Tribolium castaneum: one gene and its partners. The protein of the gene in region 1 purifies or fractionates together with the protein of each later gene. This does not show direct contact. Links are inferred from orthologs where the notes say so. Each region holds a gene or a part of one and is shown in the gene's direction. Other genes may lie near its edges.

The links.
Region 2: the proteins of MrgBP (region 1) and pont purify together in Homo sapiens (co-immunoprecipitation; 6 studies listed by BioGRID and IntAct, counting the BioPlex papers as one, with this or other methods). This does not show direct contact. The link is inferred for Tribolium castaneum from reciprocal best matches to the Homo sapiens genes MRGBP and RUVBL1.
Region 3: the proteins of MrgBP (region 1) and Eaf6 purify together in Homo sapiens (co-immunoprecipitation; 4 studies listed by BioGRID and IntAct, counting the BioPlex papers as one, with this or other methods). This does not show direct contact. The link is inferred for Tribolium castaneum from reciprocal best matches to the Homo sapiens genes MRGBP and MEAF6.
Region 4: the proteins of MrgBP (region 1) and YL-1 purify together in Homo sapiens (co-immunoprecipitation; 5 studies listed by BioGRID and IntAct, counting the BioPlex papers as one, with this or other methods). This does not show direct contact. The link is inferred for Tribolium castaneum from reciprocal best matches to the Homo sapiens genes MRGBP and VPS72.
Region 5: the proteins of MrgBP (region 1) and Brd8 purify together in Homo sapiens (affinity purification with mass spectrometry; 10 studies listed by BioGRID and IntAct, counting the BioPlex papers as one, with this or other methods). This does not show direct contact. The link is inferred for Tribolium castaneum from reciprocal best matches to the Homo sapiens genes MRGBP and BRD8.
Region 6: the proteins of MrgBP (region 1) and Tip60 purify together in Homo sapiens (co-immunoprecipitation; 8 studies listed by BioGRID and IntAct, counting the BioPlex papers as one, with this or other methods). This does not show direct contact. The link is inferred for Tribolium castaneum from reciprocal best matches to the Homo sapiens genes MRGBP and KAT5.
Region 7: the proteins of MrgBP (region 1) and Nipped-A purify together in Homo sapiens (co-immunoprecipitation; 3 studies listed by BioGRID and IntAct, counting the BioPlex papers as one, with this or other methods). This does not show direct contact. The link is inferred for Tribolium castaneum from reciprocal best matches to the Homo sapiens genes MRGBP and TRRAP.

Annotation. Positions count from the first base shown.
Region 1 is NC_087396.1:22,638,448-22,642,584, reverse strand, and holds MrgBP (MRG/MORF4L-binding protein), read left to right. Parts: upstream 1-1,337; 5' UTR 1,338-2,520; coding exon 2,521-2,608; intron 2,609-2,655; coding exon 2,656-3,236; 3' UTR 3,237-3,313; coding exon of another isoform or gene 3,314-3,484; 3' UTR 3,485-3,536; coding exon of another isoform or gene 3,537-3,718; 3' UTR 3,719-3,763; downstream 3,764-4,137. Other genes in the region: Atac2 (cysteine-rich protein 2-binding protein), read right to left, coding at 3,314-3,484, 3,537-3,718, 3,764-4,057.
Region 2 is NC_087395.1:13,831,749-13,835,880, reverse strand, and holds the start of pont (ruvB-like helicase 1), read left to right. Parts: upstream 1-1,332; 5' UTR 1,333-1,412; coding exon 1,413-1,553; intron 1,554-1,603; coding exon 1,604-1,907; intron 1,908-1,962; coding exon 1,963-2,225; intron 2,226-4,132. Other genes in the region: Abcd3 (ATP-binding cassette sub-family D member 3), read right to left, coding at 325-564, 617-738. UniProt on the Homo sapiens protein: Possesses single-stranded DNA-stimulated ATPase and ATP-dependent DNA helicase (3' to 5') activity; hexamerization is thought to be critical for ATP hydrolysis and adjacent subunits in the ring-like structure contribute to the ATPase activity.
Region 3 is NC_087398.1:15,243,147-15,245,482, forward strand, and holds the end of Eaf6 (chromatin modification-related protein MEAF6), read left to right. Parts: intron 1-1,436; coding exon 1,437-1,681; 3' UTR 1,682-1,836; downstream 1,837-2,336.
Region 4 is NC_087397.1:8,922,175-8,925,901, forward strand, and holds YL-1 (vacuolar protein sorting-associated protein 72 homolog), read left to right. Parts: upstream 1-1,467; 5' UTR 1,468-1,613; coding exon 1,614-1,750; intron 1,751-1,800; coding exon 1,801-1,927; intron 1,928-1,983; coding exon 1,984-2,080; intron 2,081-2,131; coding exon 2,132-2,582; intron 2,583-2,971; coding exon 2,972-3,191; 3' UTR 3,192-3,227; downstream 3,228-3,727. UniProt on the Homo sapiens protein: Deposition-and-exchange histone chaperone specific for H2AZ1, specifically chaperones H2AZ1 and deposits it into nucleosomes.
Region 5 is NC_087396.1:10,840,237-10,844,534, forward strand, and holds the start of Brd8 (bromodomain-containing protein 8), read left to right. Parts: upstream 1-1,498; 5' UTR 1,499-1,899; coding exon 1,900-2,290; intron 2,291-2,411; coding exon 2,412-4,298. UniProt on the Homo sapiens protein: May act as a coactivator during transcriptional activation by hormone-activated nuclear receptors (NR). Isoform 2 stimulates transcriptional activation by AR/DHTR, ESR1/NR3A1, RXRA/NR2B1 and THRB/ERBA2.
Region 6 is NC_087402.1:5,803,389-5,807,416, forward strand, and holds Tip60 (histone acetyltransferase Tip60), read left to right. Parts: upstream 1-1,455; 5' UTR 1,456-1,850; coding exon 1,851-1,901; intron 1,902-1,956; coding exon 1,957-2,014; intron 2,015-2,064; coding exon 2,065-2,133; intron 2,134-2,182; coding exon 2,183-3,016; intron 3,017-3,066; coding exon 3,067-3,229; intron 3,230-3,290; coding exon 3,291-3,507; 3' UTR 3,508-3,528; downstream 3,529-4,028. UniProt on the Homo sapiens protein: Catalytic subunit of the NuA4 histone acetyltransferase complex, a multiprotein complex involved in transcriptional activation of select genes principally by acetylation of nucleosomal histones H2A and H4.
Region 7 is NC_087401.1:16,675,661-16,678,123, reverse strand, and holds part of Nipped-A (transcription-associated protein 1), read left to right. Parts: intron 1-459; coding exon 460-1,579; intron 1,580-2,463. UniProt on the Homo sapiens protein: Adapter protein, which is found in various multiprotein chromatin complexes with histone acetyltransferase activity (HAT), which gives a specific tag for epigenetic transcription activation.

The DNA of each region.
Region 1 (4,137 bases):
AAACAGTCATGGAATTGGTGACAACGACCAATCACGCGCTATTGCTTTTGCGCTTAGCCAATCGCACGTTTTTCTTCCTTTCTTACACTTTTTCGCACGACTGTACCAGTGCTGGGCTTAATTTATGCAATGGTACCGTTGCACGCCAATGTGCAAAAGTTCAAACTTGGGCATCCATAAGCAAGCTCAAATTTAAAAAAACTAATTAAAAATTAGCTCGTAACTTTATACACATCCAAATATAATCGCTGACAACGTATGCACCTCCCTAACACAGGTAGGTATTTGGCAAATACTTGAGATTAAGTTATCTGTTTTTGGCCATTTTGCACATTTTTGCCATTTTACTCAACAGAGGAGGAGATACACGATAAAATAAAAAAATAAGAAAAATTTGAAACAAAATAAATATAACAAAATACGTAAAAATAAATATCTGTTTAAGTTTTATAACTGACTGGCTTTTTTGACTTTTAATTTTTCTATGTCACGTCCTATTAAGCGACATCAAAGGTACGGTTTAATTTAAACCCAGCTTTAAACAATTTTAAGCTTCACGTAGTTCACTTGACACTCTATATGTATAATAAGTGTGTATTTCATCCAAAGTTTAGCTCCGCTTATTATAATTATTGACAAAAAATTGTTTTATTTCGGATTGTCATGAGAGAAGAAGAAAGTTAGATTTTTTGTTTTTTTTTGCGTGGAGAAACTCCAAAGTGCGCTGTCGTCTTCATTTACAGCCACTCAATAACACAATGGCAATTATTGACTTTACTGTACAATCCTCGGGCAAAATCGCAGCTTTCGCAAAAAATGTGCAATTTTAATAAGATTTGTGTTTTATCGCGAGATCCGTGTTGGATAAAAAGCAGAGAGGAATGCCCTGGAAAATGAGGGAAAGGCGCCGGATTGCGGCGATTTGGGCCTTAATGGCCTGTTTATTGTCATAACTGTGCGCATAATGGGGTACGATTTGAATTTTAATTGCACAAGTGACGTCAAGTCATTAGACAAGGGAAACCGTTTGCTGGCAAGGCTAAGAATTGAAATATTACAGTCACAGTCGGCTTGACTTGGTGAATTCCGACACAAAAAGACGCCTTACGGGACCTCACAGTCCTCAGAAATGCAACTTTTTCAACGGATAATAGATAATAAAAAAATCATAAATTTATTGCAAATAGGACAACGAACTTTGGTAAAACTGAATGTGGGAAAAAATTAATTATAAGGTGCCCATCCCTTTTTAATAACAAAGCAATCACAAACCTATAAATAGGTGAGTTAAGAGCCCCTCGAGCCAAACAGATGTGAGTTTGCTTACTTTTTAATAGTTATTTGTAGGAGCTGCAAAATGACTACAACTCCAATATTTACCGTAATGTAAATTACAGAATATTTCGCGTACAAACATCTGCTGTTGACTTTCATCGATAAAAACCATTTGAAACTAAGCATACAAAGCCACCCGGACCCTTCCGGGGCCAACAATTCGAATAGTAATGCGGCGAATTTACTGAATCGAAATTATTCCACTTCCATTTCCAAACAATCGATCGGGCATAATTATACGACACCGGGGGTCGCAGTGTCAACACGTCCATAATCACAAGTCACGGTTTATTGCCCTCTTTTCGCCCCCTTTCGGAAGTGAAGGTCCCGGGGCCCGTTTAATTGCAAAATAACCAAAAGCAGCGTTACATAAAAGCTGGAGCCTCCAGCGTTCACGAGTTCAGTCATTTTTGGCCGTTTTTTCCTCCATCTCTGTCTCGATCGATTCTTGAAGGCAAGGCTGAACAAGGCAACGCTGGATTATATACCGGTGTTGTAGAAGAGCCGCCTGACAAGATACCAGGCAATGACCGCAACCAGAACGTTGAACCGAAGACTCCATTTCACCGGAGCGGCTAATTCAGTTCCGGGATGTCTTGTTTATTTATTTGGGCCCCGAATCAACGCCGGGGACCGGACCCACATTGCTCACAATCATTCCAAGCACGGCCCACACCCGAAGCGAATTCCGAGCTCCACAAGTCCGGCTCTGTTCCCGTCTCGGACTTTTCAGGACGAAAAAACGTGATTTGAATCAAATTGCGCCAAAATTTGACAAGAGCACCACGCACACGGCGCCAAATTCCCCAAACCGGCAGTTTTAAATTGAAACTTTGGACAAACTCTTCAGTAAATCATTTACCAACATTGTAGCTCGTGTTTTTAATAACTATCGGTACTTTGACGAGCTCAAATTAAATTTTTTTTAAGGAAAAAGGAAAATACGGGATTCAGGGTCACAAACAAAAAAACGTGTGTCAAGACTTGAATGCATTTATTTTGCAAAAAAAAAATGTTGAAGTGTTCTAACAACATTCTAATGTAGTTGATAATACATCTGTGGCCTGTAAAACAATAATGACTAAAAGATTAATTAAAATTTCAAATTGACCGTGATGGCGGCAGTGGCGCCCTCAAACAGTCATTTGTCAATTGGCGTTTTAAATAATTTAATTCCGTTTTTAAATGATTAAGGGCCCCATGGACGAGATCGAGTGGAACGTGGCGCACGAGGGGCAGCTCCTGGAGGCCATGGTGGGGCACAAGCCCGTCGGTACGTCCCCCACGAACCTAACCTAAAAAACTGAAGCCCCCTTTCAGGCGTCAATAAGTACTTCCAAATGGCGTGCATCTGTGACAAGTTCGCTGATAGTTGCCAGAAGGAGATCAACTCGGACAAGGTGTGGGCCCACCTCGAGACAATGTACAATTTGGAAGCTTTGGATGAGAGTGAGTCGATTCCGTTCCCGAATAGTGAGAAAGAGTTCACACTTCCCGATTCCGACTTCGGTTCCCTCATTGTGAAGAAGGAAGAGGACAAGAAATTGGCGCAGAAAGGGCGCGAAACGCCCAAGTCGCTCAAGGAATTGCGAAAAGATGAAAAGACTCCTGTGAGGAGCAGTAAGGAGGTGCCAAGGCGTGATAGTAAAGACAGTAAGGACAAAACCCCAGTGAGTGCGAAAAAAGAAATCAAGAAAGAGGCTGAAAAGAGTAAAAGTAAAGGTAAGAGTAATAGTAGTACACCAAGGGAGGAAAACAAGGCAAAAGCGAAAAGTGACGACACACCAAAACTGACGAAGCGCCCTACTAGAGGCAGCTCTAAACCTGACGATTCCAGTTCGAGTGGTAAATCTAGTCCAATCACAGTCACACCACCAGTGACAAAAAGGCGACGCATTTAGTTTCTTTCTCACTTTATTAAAATTAATAAAAAGTGCCTCAATAAATTACGTAAAACACGATGCAACTCGGAGCAACATCACCTCTCAAGGCGGCAGAAAAACGCATGTTTCGATTCGCTTGTCTCGCGTAAATACTTATCATAAAAATTCAAAACGACTGCTTCCACCTTAAAACCGAACTTTTGGTACAAAAACAAGGCCGGGTTGTTGATGGACACGTGTAGTGTGATATCTTTGCCGAGACTTGTCTGAAATAATTAATTAACCAACTAGTTTAATAAAAATCGACTTTTCAATTACTTGGATTAAGTGATACAACATGAACTTTCCAATCCCGACGTTTCGCCATCCTGGCCGTGTAAAAATAAAAGAGACGTAATTTTCGGTGTATTTAACATTGGGGACGAGGAACGCAAACGCCACTATTAATTTTTTGTACAAAACTACGCAACTAAAATCCGGATATTGCAAACTTTCAGTTACTGCAACAAAAAATTAAATTGTGTTGTAACATTTCGGACACTTACGATCGATTCCTGGCCAAAAAAAGTTGTTGCAGAGACTGTTAATGGCAGGTATGTGCTCAGGTTGGACGTAGGTGTAGTCAATAGGGGCCCTTGGAGGTAGAACGTAATTTTGTGTTTTTTCGTTTGCTTTCATTTGTATCTCGGCCATTAGGCGTAGCCAGGATGGATAAGTTTCTGTATCTCTTCGTATGTAAGGTTTTAAATAAATGCTGCTGTAAGGTGAGAGAATTAGTTCTTTTCTGATACCACCCATCAACCTGACTCTCATTTCGCTTCCTTTCTGCCTAAACGCGTCTAAAATTATTTTTGGAGTAAATTCTTAAGCCCTGGGACTATGGGGGACCAAAATATTTGGTGGCATGACGAAAAATCGA
Region 2 (4,132 bases), on another chromosome or scaffold:
AAATACCAACTGTAGGGTGAAAGCTGTGTCAACAGCAATATCACAACGGTAAAATATTGGTGGTATTTTTCCTCTTTAGATTCAGACAGATAATGAACCCCTCAAGGTTAATGAATTTTAATTAAATCGGTGACTTTATACAAATATCCAGTCACGATGATAACACGGTAAAAAAGCAAAAATATTTCTACCAAAACCGTTGGCTAAGACGGCATAAATATTTGACGCCTTTACTTAATCACATAAAGTTCAGATTCGGAATGCAATTACATAACCTCTAAGCTTCCTTAACTGAAGTAACCAACAACTCATTGTTCGATTTACCTTTCTATTTTCGTTCCATTATCTATCATCCATAAATCACACACAGATCTAGCCACTAAACTCGCAGCTACAAGGAATAGAAATCCCGCCTCAGGTGAAGTCCATCCTGGGATAATTATTCTAAGTAGGTGATTAAGTTGCTTAAGAAATTGCCTATCAACTTGCGCCTTAATCCTATTTTCTTTCTTCTCAGATATAAAATATTTCACTTCTTCATCCACGGTTTTCCTGACTTTTCTCCTAGAACAAAACCGGAGTCAAACAAGTCTCGAAGTGGGGTCAATTTTCATACCTGTCCAGTTTGTACAAATTTTTTCTTCGTCGTGATATTAAAATCCATAATAAAGCTGTCGATGCTCCAGCGGCTGCAAGAGCATTGTTTCTTGTCACATATTTGCTAAAACTGGGTGCCATTTTACTTCATCTTTTCGCACTTTTCACAAGAAGTATTGAGTGATCGTGACCAAGCAGTTTTCCGATCAATTGTATTTGTTTCCACTCACTCATCCACAAACACTGACACCTAACGTTTAAGCAGACTTTACCAAGTATTTTACTGATTTTACTGAGCTCCAGTCAGCGACTGTCATTGGAGCTTCGACCGATCACATGATTTTGGCCGAACCTGCAAGACAGGGACAGCCGCAATTTGAGAAAGAGACAACAAACACGCCAAATACTCACCTGTGGAATGCATTAACCGATCGTTAAAATCGAAAGGATTCATTAAAGGAAAATTAGAAAGTTTTCCATTTTGTGATAATTGACAAATGGCCGTTCTGTCATGTTGAGCTGACATGCCATTTCTCAGGTGTCTCAGGTGACTCGATCAATGTAAAATTAAATTCGCAATTTCTTTAAAATTTGACTAGGTCATAGTATTATAATGAAACATTTCAAAAATCACTTTGTGACTGCTGAGTTCGAACAGAATATTAAAAACGATTTTTTAATCAAAAATGAATTTGAAATGGTCACTATGACCACCCCAACGCTCCAAAATTCTCCAACCGGTTGTTGCCATACCAACATCACAACAATAAAACTCAAATTGATCAAGCAAAGTTTGGTTAGCGTGTTTTCCAAAAATGAAGATTGAAGAAGTGAAAAGTACGGTGAAAACGCAACGAATAAGTGCCCACAGCCACATTAAAGGTTTAGGGTTAGATGAGAATGGTTTCGCGTTGCCAACAGCGGCCGGCTTGGTCGGCCAAGAACAGGCTAGGGAGGTTAGGTTTGTCTTTTTTAATCAGAGTTCGGCTAAATTCAGTGGTTTCAGGCCGCAGGGATTGTGGTGGATATGATTAGGAGTAAGAAAATGGCCGGACGGGCTGTGCTTCTAGCGGGTCCCCCTGGGACCGGTAAAACTGCGATAGCTTTGGCCATCGCGCAAGAACTGGGTAATAAGGTGCCCTTTTGCCCCATGGTGGGGTCCGAGGTTTACAGTTCTGAGATTAAGAAGACGGAGGTGTTGATGGAGAATTTCCGGAGGGCCATAGGGCTGCGCATTAGGGAGACTAAGGAGGTTTATGAGGGGGAAGTTACTGAATTGACTCCTGTTGAAACGGAGAATCCTGCTGGAGGTTTTAGTTTTTAGACACTTTGACAATGTTCTATATATTTCTTTTGGTTTTGTAGGGTATGGAAAGACAGTAAGTCATGTAATTATTGGCCTGAAAACTGCAAAAGGTAGCAAACAACTGAAACTCGACCCCAGTATTTATGAAGCCCTTCAGAAGGAAAAAGTCGAAGTAGGTGACGTTATTTATATTGAAGCCAATAGTGGGGCTGTTAAGCGTCAAGGCAGATCTGATGGATATGCGACTGAGTTTGATCTAGAAGCTGAGGAATATGTACCGCTTCCAAAGGGGGAAGTTCACAAAAAGAAGGAGGTGGTTCAAGTATGTATAATCCGCTCTTAATATTTTTGGATAAACGGTAGCTCCGTGTTTTTTTTCAAGTTTCAAGACAAACTGAACAGTACAAATAAATCAACAAAATTTAATCATGTTTTTGAAAAATTGCTAAATTACTCACACATACATTATTTTTGTCTTAAGACAATTTTACACTTGTGACAGTTATTTTTAAGAGATTGGTGTTGTCACGTAAAGTTGTTGCAGAAATAATTAAATATGGTCAAAAAGCCCATTGTTTTTGACGTTTGTGGAGTATTAGCAATTTTTTTATCCAGAAACGCAATTATACAGGGTGTTTCATATAATTTAAATGCCACCAACATTACATTTTCTCTGGATTGTTCACCCTTTTAAAATTTATTACGGTTTTAGGTAGTTGATTTTTTTAGTATTTTTTTAGTTTTCGCTTAATCTAGCAAAATTATATTAATCAATCTTAAGATTACATTATGTTTACGTTTCTCGAGCATTTTGTGGTCAGAAATAATTTTTTTCGAGACGTTTGGTCAAAATTTCACATTATGTGAAAAACCTTGTTTTTGCCATTTTTGAGTTTTACCAAATTGTTTTCAAAGGAAACACAATAATTTCAATACATCACCGCATTGTGTTATACAGCGTGATTCAAAAGTGACGAATAAACGCTCGTATAGTAAAAAACGAAGTTTAGTTAAGCACAAAAATGAACTCAAATTTTTTTAAGCAAAGTAATTTTGATATATTTTTAAACTGTTTTCCTTAGGTATCCATTTTTGCTATTTTGTTTGCTATGATATCGAATTTCGTTTCCGCTAACTAAAGTCAAAAAAAATATCATCTGATGCACCAATAATTTAACTTAAAAATTTAACTTTGAAGAGCTATATCTCGTGAAAAAAGACTCAAACACTTTTTTGTCATAGGAACTTTTAATTCAGTTTGATGTCTTTTATCAGCACCCCAGAGATTGTCCCCTGCCTTTGAATCACACTGTATTTAAAACTGTTCCAAAAGTAAAAAATCTGATTATTTTATCTTTTTTTTTTTTTCAACTAGAAACTCATTTTTTCCCGGAAATTAAATTTAAAAATAAGCCGAAAAAAAAGCACTTTACATTGTGAATGTGCTATACATTTGCCTTTTTAAGTGCTTAAGTACTGTGCTAGTTTTTTTTTCTTTGGAACTGGTCCAAACTATGGTAAAAAATTGTAGTCTAAATAAATAATATTCTTCAGCTTTTTTAATTACACTAATCAGCGTTTTCAAAAAAAGTAATAATAAAGCTTACTCTAATTATAAACTTAAATGATCACAATGTACTTTTTAAGGCTAAAAACTTAGTTGCTTTCGCTAGACAAGCAGAAAACGACAAATGTTTTTCGAGAAATTTCGTCTGCATCAAACTATGTTAAACGTCTTTAGCAAAATTTTAGTCAGAAACTCAATTAAAAAAACTCTACATTACGTTAAAGAATGTGTTTTATTTTAGCATTTTTTTGACTTAAAGACTCGCATAAAAGTTAATAACTAAGTCAAAAAAAATTTATTTTGATTTTGTAGGCAAAAAAGCAATTATTTGAAAGAATCTTGTCAAAAATACGCCGAATAAACCCACTTTAATTTGAGGATGGTGATATATTTTTCTTTTTTTGAGGATTTAACTACTTTTTTGTTAAAAATCCCGTTGTTTTTCGAGATTTAGATTAGGTAATCAATGACATTATGTGTCCCATTTTATTTATGGACATTTTAGATAGGTTTTTCTAGTCAAGGCATTGTAATTATGTCGCGAAATTTCGTCAAAAATAAGTGGAAGAAATACTGAAATGAAAGAAATATATAAACAAGGTAATTTGGCCTCTTTCAAGCTTTCAAAACATATTTTCGATTTAAAAACTCAATTATTGCGA
Region 3 (2,336 bases), on another chromosome or scaffold:
AGGGTAAAAAATATCCTAACTATGTGGATTTAGTTTTGTAACACATGGGCTTTAAATAAATTCTGTACTAGTTCAGGATTAGTTCTAAAAATCGTTTTTGTTTGAGTTTCAGAATTTGCAAAATAATATTGCATTGAAATTGAAATTGAGGTGTATACGTACAGTGTCATTCTGCTAAAAGTATTTTCTTCCTGTGTCTCAAAACTCAATAATTACACAGAGAATTTTTCGGCAGTTCTTTATACATAATTTAAATTAATTAATATTAAGTCACTGACGAAAAAATTCTAATGATATTCTTTCTGAAGGGAACCATTAATAATAAAAAAATTGTTTCTAGCCACCAAAAAATAAAATTATTGTGTTGTTCATATTTTCCAACATTTTTAATTGTAATCAAACTGTAATTAAGATTGAACTTGTGATTTACTTTGCCAAGATTAACTTAATCGATGATTATTTTTTTTATCTATTTTTGCACAAAAATTTTTTCATTGGCTTAATTAAACTTTATTTTAAAAATTTATAGGAAAATTCCGAAAAAAAAATGCGTAGAAAGATTTAATTGATAGCAAACGCTCATCTTTATGATTTTAGCTTTAAAAATATACTTTTTTAGACTAACCCTGTAGAAACATCGAAAATTATGAATTTAATATAAAGTTGAAAAAAGAGTAAATTTCTAATGCCCCAGTGTTTTTTATATTAAAAAATAATTAAAAATGAAAATTGAGTTTTAAGTTAAGGGTAAATAGGTCATAAATACCTAATTTTTAGTAGCGTTTGACGCCTGTCATATTTGAATTTAGTGTACGTTATTCTAATTAAGTCAGAAAAAATTCCCATGCTGTAACTTGATGACTATAAATGGAAAATATTTACATAATAACAGTGGGGCAAAAATGCGGAAGTAATCCGTAAATTAATTATGGCCCCAGCAATTTAAAAACCATTGATGTCAACATAATTTTTCTAATGAACGCTTTTTAGAAATTAATTGTGTCGGAAAATTTGCTTGTTTACCGTGGAATCTCTCTCATTTTTAAAGTTACTTTTACTTTTTCATATTTTTTGTTTTTTTAATAATTGTATCCTGCCTCCTATTCACTTAATTAGCAACTAAAATTTTGTGATAGTCTATAAACGTTGTTTTTGGCGATGGAATGTAGACATTTTGTAATAACAGTCGCCAGAACAATCGGTCATTGTAACGCGTTTTGTAGTAATTAGTTTGGAAATACCTTAACAGAAAAATTTACAAGGCCACTGATCCGATCTACTTACATTGCACAAAATCGCCGCTTTTATTCATCGTTCATTTTTTCAGCCGAATGATTTGGCAATTAAATTGCTAAAACCGTCTAGTTTTTCTGTACAGGTATTACGTTCAAGCAGTTACTTTTTCAAGTAATTTTAGTTTTATTTTTTACTCGTAGTGGAGCCGCACAGCGATACTGAATCTCAAACTAATGGAGATTCTAGTGATACTAACTTAGGTCCTAATTCGAACCATATAGATTCTGGGATGAAAAATGCAGGAAAACACTCGACGAATTCCTTGAATGGTGTACAGAACGGGCTTGACCATCGAAATAGCCCCAATAGAGACGTTTCGGCCAAACAGAAAAGTTTCAGTGCAAGTGCTAAAAAAACTAATAATAAGAAAGCTAGACACAGATGACTTTTTGTGCTGTTTTCTCAACCTATTTGTGTGTGTTTACAGTTTTAAGGTTTTTCAATTGTGAGTTTGGAATCTAAGTACCTGCATATTGAAATTGTACACTTTTTACCGATGTAATTGTTTGGAACAATAAATAAAATTATTCAGCAATTAAATGATTTCCTTCATTCAAATAAGAAATAAGTACGGTAAGTGTATGTGTCTATAAATTTAAGTATTTATGTAAGTTCAACTTTCTTTAAATTGTTTTATCTTTTCAACACTCATTGCTGCATTATAAAATTGTCTGCTCGTAAATGTCATTTTCTTAGTTTTTATTACGCTTTTGCGTTAGAAATTATTACAAGGTATTAATTAATTAGACGAACATAAATTATAAATCGTATAAAGTAAATAAACTTTTTCTTGTGTAAGATTTATGTCAAAAACAAACACAAAGGTGTGCGACTAAACTCCAAAGAAATTGTAATCTCATTACTACACCTCGTTTTTTCGGATTATGTTTTTTCTATTAGGTGAGAGAATCCGATCATTAGCGTATTAGAATATCCGTTTAATTTTTTTGCGAAAGTATTTGAAAAATCTTGTTTCTTATACAAATGGTTTTGTAATATGCCAGACGTGTTTAGTAAAAGCATTTCTCTCCACAAATAAC
Region 4 (3,727 bases), on another chromosome or scaffold:
GGCAAAGAAGGAAAATCCTTGGAAAACCATCCTGGCACTAAAATTCCCAACAAACTTACAAACCCAATTTTGACTTATTTAATTACGGTCAAAGTGTCTTTAGGGTGCAGGCTAGTTGTTTGATGTCTGCTTGCTTCACAACCACTTACGAATATCTTACATATTGAGTGTAAAGCTGATAAACAGGGTTTTGTTATTGTCAGAAATAACTGTCAACAATATTACATAACCTAACAACTTTCTTTCTCTGAAATCGGAATATTCGCGGTTACAGTAATTTTTCACTTTATTTTTACAAAACTTATTGGCTGGGATTAGTAATACACAACAAAAAATGGTTCAAAAAACTTTATTTTTGACCTGTACATTTTCCTTTCATTCAAATTACAAGAAAAAATGAAAAACTATATTCTACAAGAAACAATGAGACAAATAAATTAATATTCTAGTCATTCTACAATTCTACATACAGTTTAGGAAACAATAAATGTTAAAATTCGGTTAACATCCTGAAAGGCACAAAATTGTACATATTGCTCATAATAATTGTCATGATTTCAGTTGTTTTAATTAATCAAAGGTTATTTAAAAAAATAGGAAAAAAGCATGAGTGTAGCTGTAATGCTGTTCCTAATGCTAATAAACCTAGGATATGTTGAGATTTGTTAGCTGAGAAAAATTACTGTATCTTAGTTTATGCACATTTGCGACAAACTGGACAACTTCTGTTTTCTTTGAACCATCTTGTGATACACTGATCATGAAATTTATGTTTGCATGGTAAAATAATGCCACCATCACCTTCAGGCAATGGTTCACAACATATCACACATTCCGGAACCGAGTTTCTTCTTTTTTTTCTGTAAAAAGGTGTTTTTGTACGTTGCAGTTACATAATAAGTTACTCACTTGTTCTTTCCTGTATCTGCTGTATCTGGTGTTCTTTCCTGTACCCTCGGTGTGTACACATATGTATACTTATTGTCGCTCTGGTGACAAGAAGCTGTGTTGTTTCTAGCAGTGTAGACTTCATATATGGCCAACCCAATTGCAAAAACCATCGCAGTCATAAGAACTATGCCTTGAACTCCCATCTTTGTTTTCTCTTTTTGTAACGGAAATGTGGCTGGCTATTGTAACAATTACCTACCTTTGCAACAGCAACGTCAGCAGCAGCTGAAGACGACTTATTGATAATTCTGTAATTCCCCTCGATTTATCAGGACCACCAACAAAAAGACGAGAAATAACTCATTTTCACCCTTTTGGTGGGGTTATTGCGGAGGAAAAAATGAGATCAATTCTAAAAATATTCCCACACGCACGTATTTATTCCATTCATTCATTGTAAAGTGCCAAAATCTTTTTTTACCAAAATACGAAAGGACTCGAACGCTTGTTGCAGTGACATATGAAACTTAGCTATTGGTACTTACTGATAATTCTATGGTATCTAGCAAAATACTAACCTTAAAATTTCGCAGTTTGACAGATGGTGTTTAGTGCTTGTGTTTTTTATTTAATTAGGAAAAATATTAAATAAAAACCATTTACTTTGTAATAAAACTTATCATTGGTTTGTTGTCCCTGTCCCAGGCGAGAAATTCGTTACAATGGCAAAAAGAGAAAAACGGGCAAATGCCGGTAACCGTATGGCAAAATTGTTAGATGAAGAAGAAGAATGTCAAGACGAATTCTACAAAACCAATTATGGTGGTTTTGAAGAAACCGAATCCGATAGGGAATACGAGTACTCACTTCTGATTCATTTTGTTCCGTTTTGTTATGGTTTAATTGCAGGGAGGAGGAAGAAGGCGAAGATGTGGTAGATTCCGACTTTAGTATTGACGAAAATGACGAACCTATTTCAGACAATGAGGAGGAGGGTCAGAAGAAGAAACGAAGATTAGTTACAAAGGCTTACAAGGTAATGCACGATTATGACGTTCGATTTTTTGTTAATTTTTATCTGAAACATTGTAGGAACCAGTGCCTGCACCCAGTAAACAAAAAGCAAAACCAAAACCCACAAAACCTGTCCCTAAAGTCAGAACAACCCAACATGAATCCACAGAATACGGTTTGAAAATAACGAGTTAGTTAATAATATTTGGCAACAAACGTGTTACAGAAAGAAAGTCAATCAGGAAGTCCACAGCTGCAAAATCAGCCGCAACAGCACAACGCATCAAAGTACGAAATCTCGAACAAAAGAAAAAAATCAAGAAACCGAAAGAAGAAGAATGGGTGCCAACACAGGAAGAGTTACTCGAAGAAGCAAAAACGACCGAATTGGAGAACTTGAAGTCACTTGAAAAGTACCAAAAGATGGAAAGTGAGAAGAAAACGAAACGAACTGTGAAAAAAGTCATCAATGGCCCTGTTATCCAATACAGATCAACACGAATGCCAATCATTGAGGAAATCAATCAAGATAAAGACATCAAGAACGAATCAGAAAACGTGTGCGAACGCACGTTTATCTCAGTGCTTAATGACCCTAACGATGCCACATTTAACAGCATTTTTGAAAAAAAGACAGCGCGTCCGCTTCCACGACGTCTCAGATGCATTGTCACAGGGTAAAAATAGCTATTTATATGTGCAGGGGCAATTCTTGCTCCCGTCACGTGTACAGGGTGAGTCATTGATATGACATACACCGTCAGTGGTATCGTATTCTAAAATTCTTTGTCCGATAATACAGTCTTCCATTTTTACAGTGCAGTCTAAACATAATTTTTTTAAATGTCAGGGGTTATTTTTTTATTTTTCTACAATTTAATCTGCAGGCATATTACAGTGACTCACCCTGTATATATTTTTTTCGCCTAATTTGGAGGTGCAATGTGCACAGTATGTCTTTCCTGTCTAGGGAGGAAAAGACATAGTTTGCACTTTTGAATTAGGGAGCAAAATATTTTCTAAAAAGCGACGCATTTTTTTATTTTTATTTATTTTGTGTTTTCAGTCACCTTGCAAAGTACGTTGACCCTAAAACGTGTCTGCCTTACCACAGCAGCATGTGTTTGAAGATAATTCGTTCTGCTTATTACCAACAACTGGAAGCTCATGGAGATAAGAGTAATCCAGTAGTTGCAAACTGGCTTAAGTGGTACGTTAAGAATAAGGATAAGTTAAGGAGGGAGTTGGCGTTGAAAGTAAAAACACATCAGGTGGATCACAGTTGATTTATTTTGCTCTATTTAATAAATTTTTATAATACAGTTTCTATTTCTTTCAAATAAAACTGTTTTGGTCTGAGATCAACACGATTAAATGTTAGTGAATGAGTTTGCAACAAATTTGGACGAATGAAAAGCGTCGAAAACGTTTAGTTAATATATTTATTAAACTGGTGCACAAATAATACATTACCATAATCTCAGTAGCCAATAATTTGGCTGAAAATTGGCTTATGAAGTACAACAAGAATTAATAACATTAAATATTATTAATATGACACATAAATTACATCTAGTTTAACATATCATATAAAATTAATAGGTATTTGATAAGCTACCTCATTAATTAATGCCATTATTACTTTGTTAAAATAATTTTAGCACTTGAGTATGAACAGTGTATATCAAAAGAGTAGTTCGATTAACAATGCGAATTTGTTAATAGATTACTGTTTTAATATACAATTCGTTAAAACTCTGAGAAAACGAAATTAATCTCTAATCTAAGTACAACATAATGTAAATATTTATAATAGTTAAAA
Region 5 (4,298 bases), about 12 Mb from region 1:
AGTGATTTTTTATTAAGTAGTTGACTGAACTATTAAATAAAGCATATGTGTTAATTTAGTTATGTTGCATCAGTGAATTGACTAGCTTAGATACGATTAATTTATTTTTAGTTAAGTGAGTTTTTAGTGATAAAAGAATGGAATTAGCAGGGAGGATGATCTCATCTTGTCTGAATAGCATAAAATAGCAATAGAAAAGTGTACATTGACATGCTTTTATTTTCATCCGTTCACGATGCAACATTCATAGAGTACCTATTTATAAGTAGAATGTAAAAGAATAATGAATATCAATTATATCATATAATTTATGTTAAAATAGGTTTCACAAATTCTTGCCATGATGAATCCTAGCCTAGACTGAAATTATAAATATTGCTTTGTTACGTAATGAGAGTAGAGTATATGAAGTGTTTTAGTTGTAAAGGATGTAGTTACACACACTTTAGGGGTTAAAACTGCAATTCTGTAACGAAGTCTGTTATATTTTTACCGAAAGTGCTCATGCTGTTATCAAATTAGGTGACGTAACTTTGGGAAATGCTTTTGACGATGAGAGCGATTTTAACAAAATCATTTCTTATTCACAAAATTACGATTTGTTGAAAATTTCCTTCACAGTCATATTCACCTTATAAGTAGGGATTTTTTTCAGAATCATGTAAATAAATGTAGAAAAGTGCCTATTTTAAATTGCGCATCGCTACCCTCTTGGTCAACTATTAGAGTAATCTCAAATTATTTAATGTTTTAACTGTTGTTATAATTTGGTTTATAATTGAATAAAGCTGCATTTTTACAGTTTGCCCGCATTTCCTTCAACACACAAAAACATTTCAAACAAATTTATTCAACTACTATGTTACAAAGTAAACTATCATAGCGTGAAACACAGTAAGAGGACCGCAAATCCCAGACGCTCATACTGATTCATGATTATTGCAGCAACGCCAAAACGAAAAGCCGCTTTCATAACTCTTGCATTCCAAAACATTATTATCAGACGCAGCCAAGTTGAGGAAGGTCTTGTCACACTTGTCTCAAACGCTGGTGCATTCACCGGCTTGTCGTTTTTTCCACCACTTTTATGAAACACTCCATATTTGTCGATGTAATAACTGATTCGCCCTTCGGGGGCCATTCTGAATACTGTTTCCACCTTTTTTTTTTTTTTCAAAGAGTATCCTTACATTTGATTGTTATGTATACACTCACAACTTCTTTTTTTACTTCACTTTGGGACACTGGGTGGAGCTACCACCAGAAACAGCTTCCAAAGCATTCGAAAAAAACATTTTTTATTGCATTCCATTCGCAAGAAAGTGAGGTTAAAAATTTGACAACTTGCCACTAAAGTAGCTACCGCGCAAGCTACCGAAATACTTAATAACAGAATATGCCATAAAATTCGACAAATACAAAAAGGTGGCCACAATCTATATGTATTTGATAACATTAAACCAGCTACACCCAAAATACACTAATTAATTAAAAAACAGTCATTAAATTAATACTTTTCGATCATAAAAGCCCTCGTCAAAAATCACGGTCTGTACGTAATATCTAATAATGTCTGCGTATGAAATTTTCAAGATTATTAATTTTTATGAATAATAAGATCTTACGAAATTATTTAGACAAGTGTGCTTGAAACATTACATAATCTTACACTGATTGTGGTTGACTTTCTTTAAAAATCAGGCAAAACTTCTGCATAGTTTGTCCAGGTTTGACACTTTGACAGTTGACAAATATAAACAACGTTCAAGCTTGTTATAACGATAATTCTTGTGTGCGAATTTCTACTTCAAGAATGTTTATTCAGTGATACTATTAGTCACTTTCCTGGCAAGGTTCTTGTATTTGATTTTTGGACGTTCGGGCCAACATAACCTCAAAATGAGTTCAATTGAAGAACGTTTACAAATAAAGCGTGAACCGCTGGATAAATGGTCAATCCGTGAACAGTTGGCTCTAGCAGTGGCTCGTAACATGGACCAGAATTTAACAAGTGTGAGCCGAGCTTTAAAACCCTTTGGTGAACCCAACAGACCCCCTGATTGGTTCCACCAGAAGAACTGTGCAGCCCAGTATGGGGCTCTTTTAGCGAATGTTGAAACACCTAAGAGGAAGAAAAGAACGTCTGGGGGCGAAGTCACTATCGAAACCCCCGCCGAAGTCATTCTACGCAAACTTTTGGCCGAGAGACAAGCTGAGCTCAAGAGACTACTAGCGGAAGAAAAAGCAGAATATCAGAAATTGCAGAGAGATAAAGCTCTGCTTCAGTCAGGTATTCACAATTAAATTAAAGTTGTTTGAAGTTACAGGGGCTATATTAGAGCCTCTCAAACTTAAGACTGTTGCGGAAATTCGGTTAAGTATTTTTTGATAATTAATTGTTTTATTTAAAGGTAACGTAAGTGAAGAACAACTGGATATTTGGTGTAAGGAAATAGATGAAGAGGAACACAGGAAGGAACAAGAAGCCCTGGCACACGAACAGTGGCTAAAGGAGAGGGAGTTACGAAAACAGGAAATAGAAAGAGCGTGGAGACCAGTTAAGCCATCCCCGGTGATTGGTCAAAAACGTAAAAATTCCGAAGCTATGGACACAATCCCAGAGATGGAAAATACAACAGAAGAACAGAAAATCCTAGTGCAGGAGCCCCCTAAACCGGCCCTATCGCCACTTCTGACAAGTCTTCTGAAATCACCATCACAAGTTCCAAACGTTACAACTTCCTCAATATTGCATTCAGCGATTACCAACCAACGGCCAACCAACACAACTACTAGCCCCATGATTGCCAGTCTTTTAAGCTCCTCAACTGGAGAAACAGTTTCTCCAGGATTGCAACTTTTGGTTAGTACAGCTATAGGACAAGAGCCAACCGGAGAAGAAACCCAACAACAGAATGTCAATACTAACGATATCCTCGATGATGCCAATCTACAAATTTTGAAAATTGATGACTTGGCGAGCAGTATCTTGATCCAGAATGGCCCACTTCCAGAAATAAAGAATGACGTTGATGTTATCATCTCCGATTTGATTGAGAACGCGCAGGATATAGTTGCAGATCCGGAACAGCATCTACAACTGGATGGAAACGGTGATCTTAATCTAAATTTGGAACTGGAAGATTTCGAAGAGAGTGAAACTGATATGAAGGACGAAACCAAAGAAACAGAAAAACGGACGGAAACTACAACACCGGCAATAGATCCGTTTGAGTTCCAAGAAGATCCGGAAGTTTTTGAACCCGCTAAACCTGCAACAGCCGTGAAAACAGACGCTTCTAAAACTATGGTAGCACAGGACAGCGACGATCGGTCACAAACTACTGACGAAGCCCCAAATTCAGACAATAAACACTTAACTTCAAATGGCGAAGAATCTCGGGATGAACTGGTAGAAGTAAAAAACGAACCAACTGATGATTCCGATAAGAAAGATAAAAGCACAACTCCTGGATCCGTCGAAATTGTAGAAGTTGTAGTTATGGATGATGAGGATACTGACAAGGAAGTCAATAAAACTGAAGATCCAGCCCATTCCGTTAAAGCGGAACCAAAGAAAGAAACAGCAGGGGAAAGTACAGAAGTTGCGGAAATAAAATCAGAAACAGACGCCAAAGTTTCAGAAAATGAAAAATCTAGTGTAGAGATTGAGAAGAAAGACGAAAGGAAACTGGACGAGTCAACCACATTGACTTCCGACTATAACGAGGAATTGTACGACGATATCAATATGGAAGTGAAAGTGGACAAGACCGGGAAAGCAAAGCGCGATTATTCCAGGACGAAGAAGAAGGACGATAAAGAATTTGATGTTCTCTTGGCCATTGAAAAGGCGCAAAGAGACGAAAGTGAGTTGGTTGAAGAGAGTTTCTCTGACCGGGATTACAGCGAACTGGACCGTAAAGACAGCAAATCGCGGATTAAGAGCGAGAATGAAAGATCTAACAGTCCCTGGACGGAGGAGGAAGATGTGTCTACAATACGGACAAGGAGGCGACTTTCAACTCCTGCGACTCCGATTGATTCAGTTCCAGGATCACCAGTTTCCAGTATATATTTTTACGATGATGATCGGGAGTATCGCAATTGGAAGAAGTCTATAATGCTTGTGTATAGTAGATTGGCTGCAAATAAATACGCGTCACTGTTTTCTAAACCGATCACCGATGACCAAGCTCCAGGGTATCACAGTGTGGTGTATAGACCCATGGATTTGTTGACGATTAGAAAGAATATAGAGAATGGGGCTATAAGAACAACGCAGGAGTTTCAAAGAG
Region 6 (4,028 bases), on another chromosome or scaffold:
ATAAATTATTTGAGTGCTTTGATTTTACTTATAGTTACTGAATTTAAAATGTGTCACTCAAACGCGATCACTAGTCACCGAATTTAAAATATAAACCGGAAAATTTAGATTTGCTTGAACATACGTCCGTTCGCGACAACGGCAAGTAACAAACTGAATAAATTGAACGAAACGGCACAATACACAATAATTTAAATAAACCGCCTCACCTCACCTCGCTTCGCTTCGCCCCGCCTCCCGGTCCCGCTCCCGATCTGACCCGTGCCGCTGCTCGCTGTCGACTGAAGCGCTCTCGCCGCCTGCGCCGCACACCTAACCTCGGGACACGTCACGGATGTGACGTCACACAAGTCTAAAACAGGTCATTACCAGAAATATTCACTGTCAAAATCCGTCAAATTTAGTAACATTCATACACAGAATTATTCAAAATAGAACAGCATTGATCTAGAAAAATTAATTATGACAAATGTATTTGCCTATAAACGTCTAAAATTATAAAAGTTTCGCATGCAGTCAATGGAAAAATAAAAATGCATATTTTTATTTAAACAGAAACTGGCAATGTGAAATTTTGGTGCGAAAAGTTTTATCACACGAGCCGACAATTCTTTCAGACTAGCCGTGTTATGTGTTATGTTGCTCACAAAACGGACAACAAGGGGGTTATCACGGAGACTCAGCTGTGACGAACGAATTTTATTTTTACATAAAGGTGATTTATTTGTTACCTCAGTCAAATTTTTCAGCGCGATTATTTCAGGCGGCAAAGTGCGCAATTTGTTTTTGTGCAACTGGAGCGACTTCAAGTTGTGCAAATTGGCGATATTTGACGGCAAACTCTCGATTAAGTTATCGCAAAGCACCAAAGCCTGCAGTTGCTTCAGTTGGCCTAGAGTTGAAGGAACTTCCACTAATTGATTGCCACCCATCGACAAGATTTGAAGGCTGCAATCATTATCACGTGTGGTCGTTTTAATCGTCCCCACTTACCAGTTTAATTTCTTTATGTTTTTCGGTATTGTTTTAATTTTATTCCCTCTTAGGTACAGGTACTTTAAATTAGTAAACTCAAACAGTTGTTCGGGAACTGTTCGAAAACATTCCCGCTCAGGTTTAACTCCTGCATGCTCGCACTCTCAGCGAAACTTTTCGGGAGGGATTCGTTACTGAAGCGATTATTTTTCGCAACCAGTGTTGTTAAATGCCAGTACTCGAAAACATCAGGTAAGGTCATAAGGCCGTTGTTGCTGATATGGAGGACTTGGACGTTTGTGACTTTTGACAAGTTTTTGGGGAGCGTTGTGAGTTGGTTGTGGTGCAAAATAATCGACTCTATGTCTTCTCGTTTTGCACAGTCCTTGCCTAGTTCGTCCAAATTTTCTTCGAGTTGTTGCGAATCCAAGAGCAAATAGGCGAAACTCCGTTTGAACTGTGGGCTGCGATTAGGAGAACGCTGCGTTCAAGCGAAGCTAAGGTCAAACGTGTTATCACCAATTTGTGAACAAAGCTTGGTGAGGCGTTAATTTAACAATGAGTCTGAGAATGGAATTGTGTGATTTTATCGAGTGTGCTGGTTTCGGGGGAAACCCCCGAGCAACACCCTACGCCCATGACTAGATAATGATAATTTATTAAATAGTAGACACTTGTGTGTATTGTTTCGGTTCGCCGAATGTGCATATACAGATAAGTCGCATCAAAACATTATTTTGGATAACAATTATGCAATGGAAAAAAATCGTTATGGATATTGCGCATTATGTTTTTTGCGGTAGTTGTGGTGGTGAGGTTTGTTCGGCAATAATTACAATTTTTCCCCCCGAAATTGTGAAAAACAAGCAGAATCGATGAAAGTGGAAATGGAGGAAATCGACGACAGCACAATTTGTGATTCTGTGGTATATTTTCATTAAAAATTGCAAAACCAAAATGTTGACACAACCTCACTTTTAGAATTCGTTAGTGGAAGGATGCAGGCTCCCGGTTCACATGACCGGCACTTCCGACTGGCGTAAGCCCCACTTTGGCACATTTTGCACGTTTTTATGTTTTAAATTGCAGCTTTGGCCGAAATTATCAGTATTAAGGACGTGCAAGGCTCGAAATTGTACTACGTCCATTACGTTGATTGTAAGATTGGACACCCGTTTCGTTCCTTGTGAACTAACTTGGGTTTTAGTTAACAAGCGTTTGGACGAATGGGTGACCGAAGAATCGCTCGACACTCGTAAAGTCCACTTCCCGAGACGTGACGGCGGGAGTAACACTGGAGTCTCAACTCCGAAAAAAATTCACATTGGGGGCGGTGGTGCCATCGGTTCGGTATCAAGGCCCTCGAGCCCTGTGACAGCTGCCTCCGAACTTGTCAACGGCAGTGCTGTCCTAGCAGCAGCGTTGCAAAAACGCATAAATAGGAAACGAAAAGGGCCGTCTCTTGAGAGCGAAGACTCGCAAGATGGGCCCACACAGATGCCCCCAGGGCCGAGGCAGTCTGGGAGCATGGTGTCGCACCATGACGATGTGGTCACCAGGATGAAGAACATCGATATGATCGAGTTAGGGAAACACAGGATAAAGCCGTGGTATTTTGCGCCATATCCGCAAGAAATGGTCAACTTGAGCTGTATATACATCTGCGAGTTTTGCCTCAAGTACCGAAAGAGCAGGAAGTGTCTAGAACGCCACTTGGTCAAATGTAATTTGAGACACCCGCCCGGAAATGAGATTTATCGCAAGGAAAACGTCTCGTTTTTTGAAATTGACGGGCGGAAAAATAAAGTCTACGCCCAGAATTTGTGTTTGTTGGCGAAGCTGTTCCTCGATCATAAAACACTGTATTACGACACGGACCCGTTTTTGTTTTACGTAATGACCATTTTTGATAATAGAGGGTTTCACATTGTTGGCTATTTTTCGAAAGAGAAGGAATCAACGGAAGATTTTAACGTCGCGTGTATTTTAACCATGCCTCCGTATCAGCGAAAGGGTTACGGAAAATTACTAATCGAATTTAGTGAGTTTGAGTGCGAATTTTTGTTGTCGAAATTTCACGAATTGTTTCAGGTTATGAATTATCAAAGTTCGAAGGTAAAACGGGTTCTCCCGAAAAACCTCTCTCCGATTTGGGTTTGCTTTCGTATAGGAGTTACTGGGCACAAGCTATTTTAGAAATCTTAATATCAATGAAGCCAGTGGGTGATAACGAGAAGCCACAAATAACGATCAAGTAAGTATTTTTGATTATTTCTTTATTTTTCGTAATTGTGAAATGTTTGTTCACTTTAAAGTGAAATTTGTGAGTTGACAAGTATTAAAAAAGAAGACGTCATCTCAACTTTACAAAACTTAAACTTAATCAATTATTACAAAGGCCAGTATATTATAACGTTAAATCAGGAAATTATGCAAAGTCACAAAAAAGCCATGGATAGTAGACTTATCCGAATCGACCCCAAGTGTCTGCATTGGACACCTAAAGATTGGGGCAAACGCGCCAAGTGGTAGATCAATAAATGATTTTTTACATTTTCTCTTTTATTAACATATTCCTCTGCCAATCCACACTGTTCCTCCTCACTTAATAATAGTAACACTGCGAACTTGTGTTTTGACGGAGAAACATGGAGAAAACACCGGGTTCAGTAGTACATTTTTTACGAAAATGCATTTTGTTTGTATTTACTGGCACATTTTACGTCCAAGATATTATTAAGTCGAAAGTGGTATTATTTTTGCGTTTACGCATATTTTTTATTTAGAAACTCACTAGTTTCGCAATTGTCAGATTTTACTCTGAAAATCGTCGAATTATTTTTATTAAAGCGAAGTGTGAGTTAAAGTGGACTACTTTTCAAACGTTTTAGTCGTTTTTCATCACCTTGTGAATTTTGAAATCAATGAACTTGCGATTGCAAAACTAATCTTCAATTAATAAAAAAATGAAACGTTTTCCGTTGTTTATTCGTACGTTTTATTGTGTAATATTTTGTTTTGGGTTTGTTTATAATACTGATGGGAGAGGATGT
Region 7 (2,463 bases), on another chromosome or scaffold:
TTTTTCTAAGTTTTCAGACCTGACCTGACTGTTGAGTTAACTTAGACTTTTTCTAAGTTTTTAGACCTGACCTGACCTGACTGTTGAGTTAACTTAGACTTTTTCTAAGTTTTCAGACCTGACTTGACCTGACTGTTGAATTAACATGGACTTTTTCTAACTCAGAGTTAACTCATTATTAAAATAACGGACTATAGAGGTTATAAAAAGTTATAAATAAATTCTAACTTACATTCTGTTTGAAATCAATAGGCTTTCCACGAGTTTTTTTGAAGTGAAATTTATTATGACTCATTTAAAAATGTTTTTTTTTTTAATATTCTTTTCTATGTTTTTTCTAATTGGTTTTGAAATATGAACTGTACATTATTTGTGCAGGTTTTTTAAAGCGTTCAGTTTTAATAAAACAACCTATACCGCACATATAATGTATTACTTAGCCAAATTTTTTCCTCTTAGGTCGTTCCTAATTGAGGAAAAATGCCGTTTCCTCTCAAACTTCACCCTTAAAACCGCCGAAGTGGAAATCCCCGGCGAATTTCTCCTCCCCAAACACAACCATTACTACGTTCGCATAACTCGTTTCATGCCTCGTGTTGACGTCGTCCAAAAACACAACGCCGCCGCCAGGCGTCTCTACATCCGTGGTCACAACGGAAAAATCTACCCTTATTTAGTTGTCAACGATTCGGGTCTAGTCGACGCACGTCGTGAAGAACGCGTCCTTCAACTTCTGCGCATGCTCAATCACTGTCTCGGCAAACAGAAAGAGACCGCACGACGTTTTCTCCACTTTACCGTACCGCGCGTTGTTGCCGTCTCGCAGCAAATCCGATTGGTCGAAGATAACCCCGCCTCCATCTCCCTATTGGACATTTTCAAAAAGGGGTGTGCCAAGCTAGGCATCGAGCACGACGATCCCATTCATTACTACTACGAACGCTTGGGTGGGGTGCAGAGTAGGGGAATCAAAGCGAGCCATCAATTGAGTAGGGATATTTTAAAAGGGGTGCAAACAAACATGGTACCAAGAACGTTGTTGAAACAATGGGCGGTCCAAACGTTCCCATCAGCCACCGATTATTGGCAGTTTCGGAAAATGTTCACATTGCAGTTGGCTTTGGCCTGCTTTGCCGAACATGTCTTGCACTTGACGAGACTTAATCCCGACATGATGTACTTGCATCAGGATTCGGGATTAATGAACGTGGCCTACTTTAAGTTTGATGTGGATGATGGGACGGGGGAGTTTGGGGCCACCAGATCGGTGCCCTTTCGGCTGACGCCGAATATTGTCGAGTATTTGTCGAGTATTGGGATTAGTGGGCCTTTGACAGCGTCCATGATTGCGACGGCGAGGTGTTTCGTTTATCCGAATTTTAAAGTAACGGCGATTTTGAAGCCGATTTTGAGAGATGAGATGGTTTTGTCGAGGATGAAGAAGCCGGAGGAAGTGGCAGGGAATAATACGGAGAAGTTGAGCGATAGCGAACAGATTATTAATATGGTCAATAAGGCAGTGACGTCGATCTCCAGTCGGTTGAACAGTTTGGCGCATTTTGACGGAGCTGATAGCAAGGTTAGTGGATACTTTTTTGTTAGTAGATTTTTTTTTCTAAATGAAATGAATTATATTGAAAAGACACGTAAAATAATATAATACTATTATAATAAAATTCCAATTTTTAGTCGTTATATACATATGTACGAAATTAATTGGTCTAAGCAGGACCTAAGTAACAGAAAAAAAAAATTTTGAGCGTAGGACACTTAGATATGATTGTGAGAATAACTATATTTTTCTAAAAATTTTTTTTAATAATGATGCTGGAAGTTTTTGGAAAATGCAGTTTTTACGAAATAAATTATATACAAAATAATTTGCGTGATCCAAGAGTGTATAATCGGTCTATAACTTTTTTGCTATTTGAAATATTGTCATTCTGTTTTTATTATTTGATAGATCTACTGAAATTCCACAAACTAAAAATATTTCTATTATGCCCAGGATGTATACAGAGTGATGAACCAAAGTTATATTTTTTTTAACGGAACACCCTATATATTTTTGCATAATTGGATTCTACGTAAAAAAATAATGTAACTTTATATAAACTATTATGGGTCTATCTTTTTTCGTTTCGGAATTATTCGACTTTTCGTTATAGAAAAGACCAATTTTTGAAAATTCACTGCAAAGTCGCTTATGAATATTTTCCGATAAATTTGCAACAGAAAAATTCAAAATACTTTGAAGTTTTAGGAAATTGTCGACTTTTACTTGAAACACGGAAATCATATACAGGGTGTGTCAAAACGCAAAAAGTTGAATAACTAATTTTTTTTAATGGAACACCATGTATTTCTTTAGACGTATCGATAGCATTTTTTATAAGCTTTCTATTGATATGCGGTTTATATTGCAAATTTACAATATTTTTTAAAGTGTTCCAAATATATTAA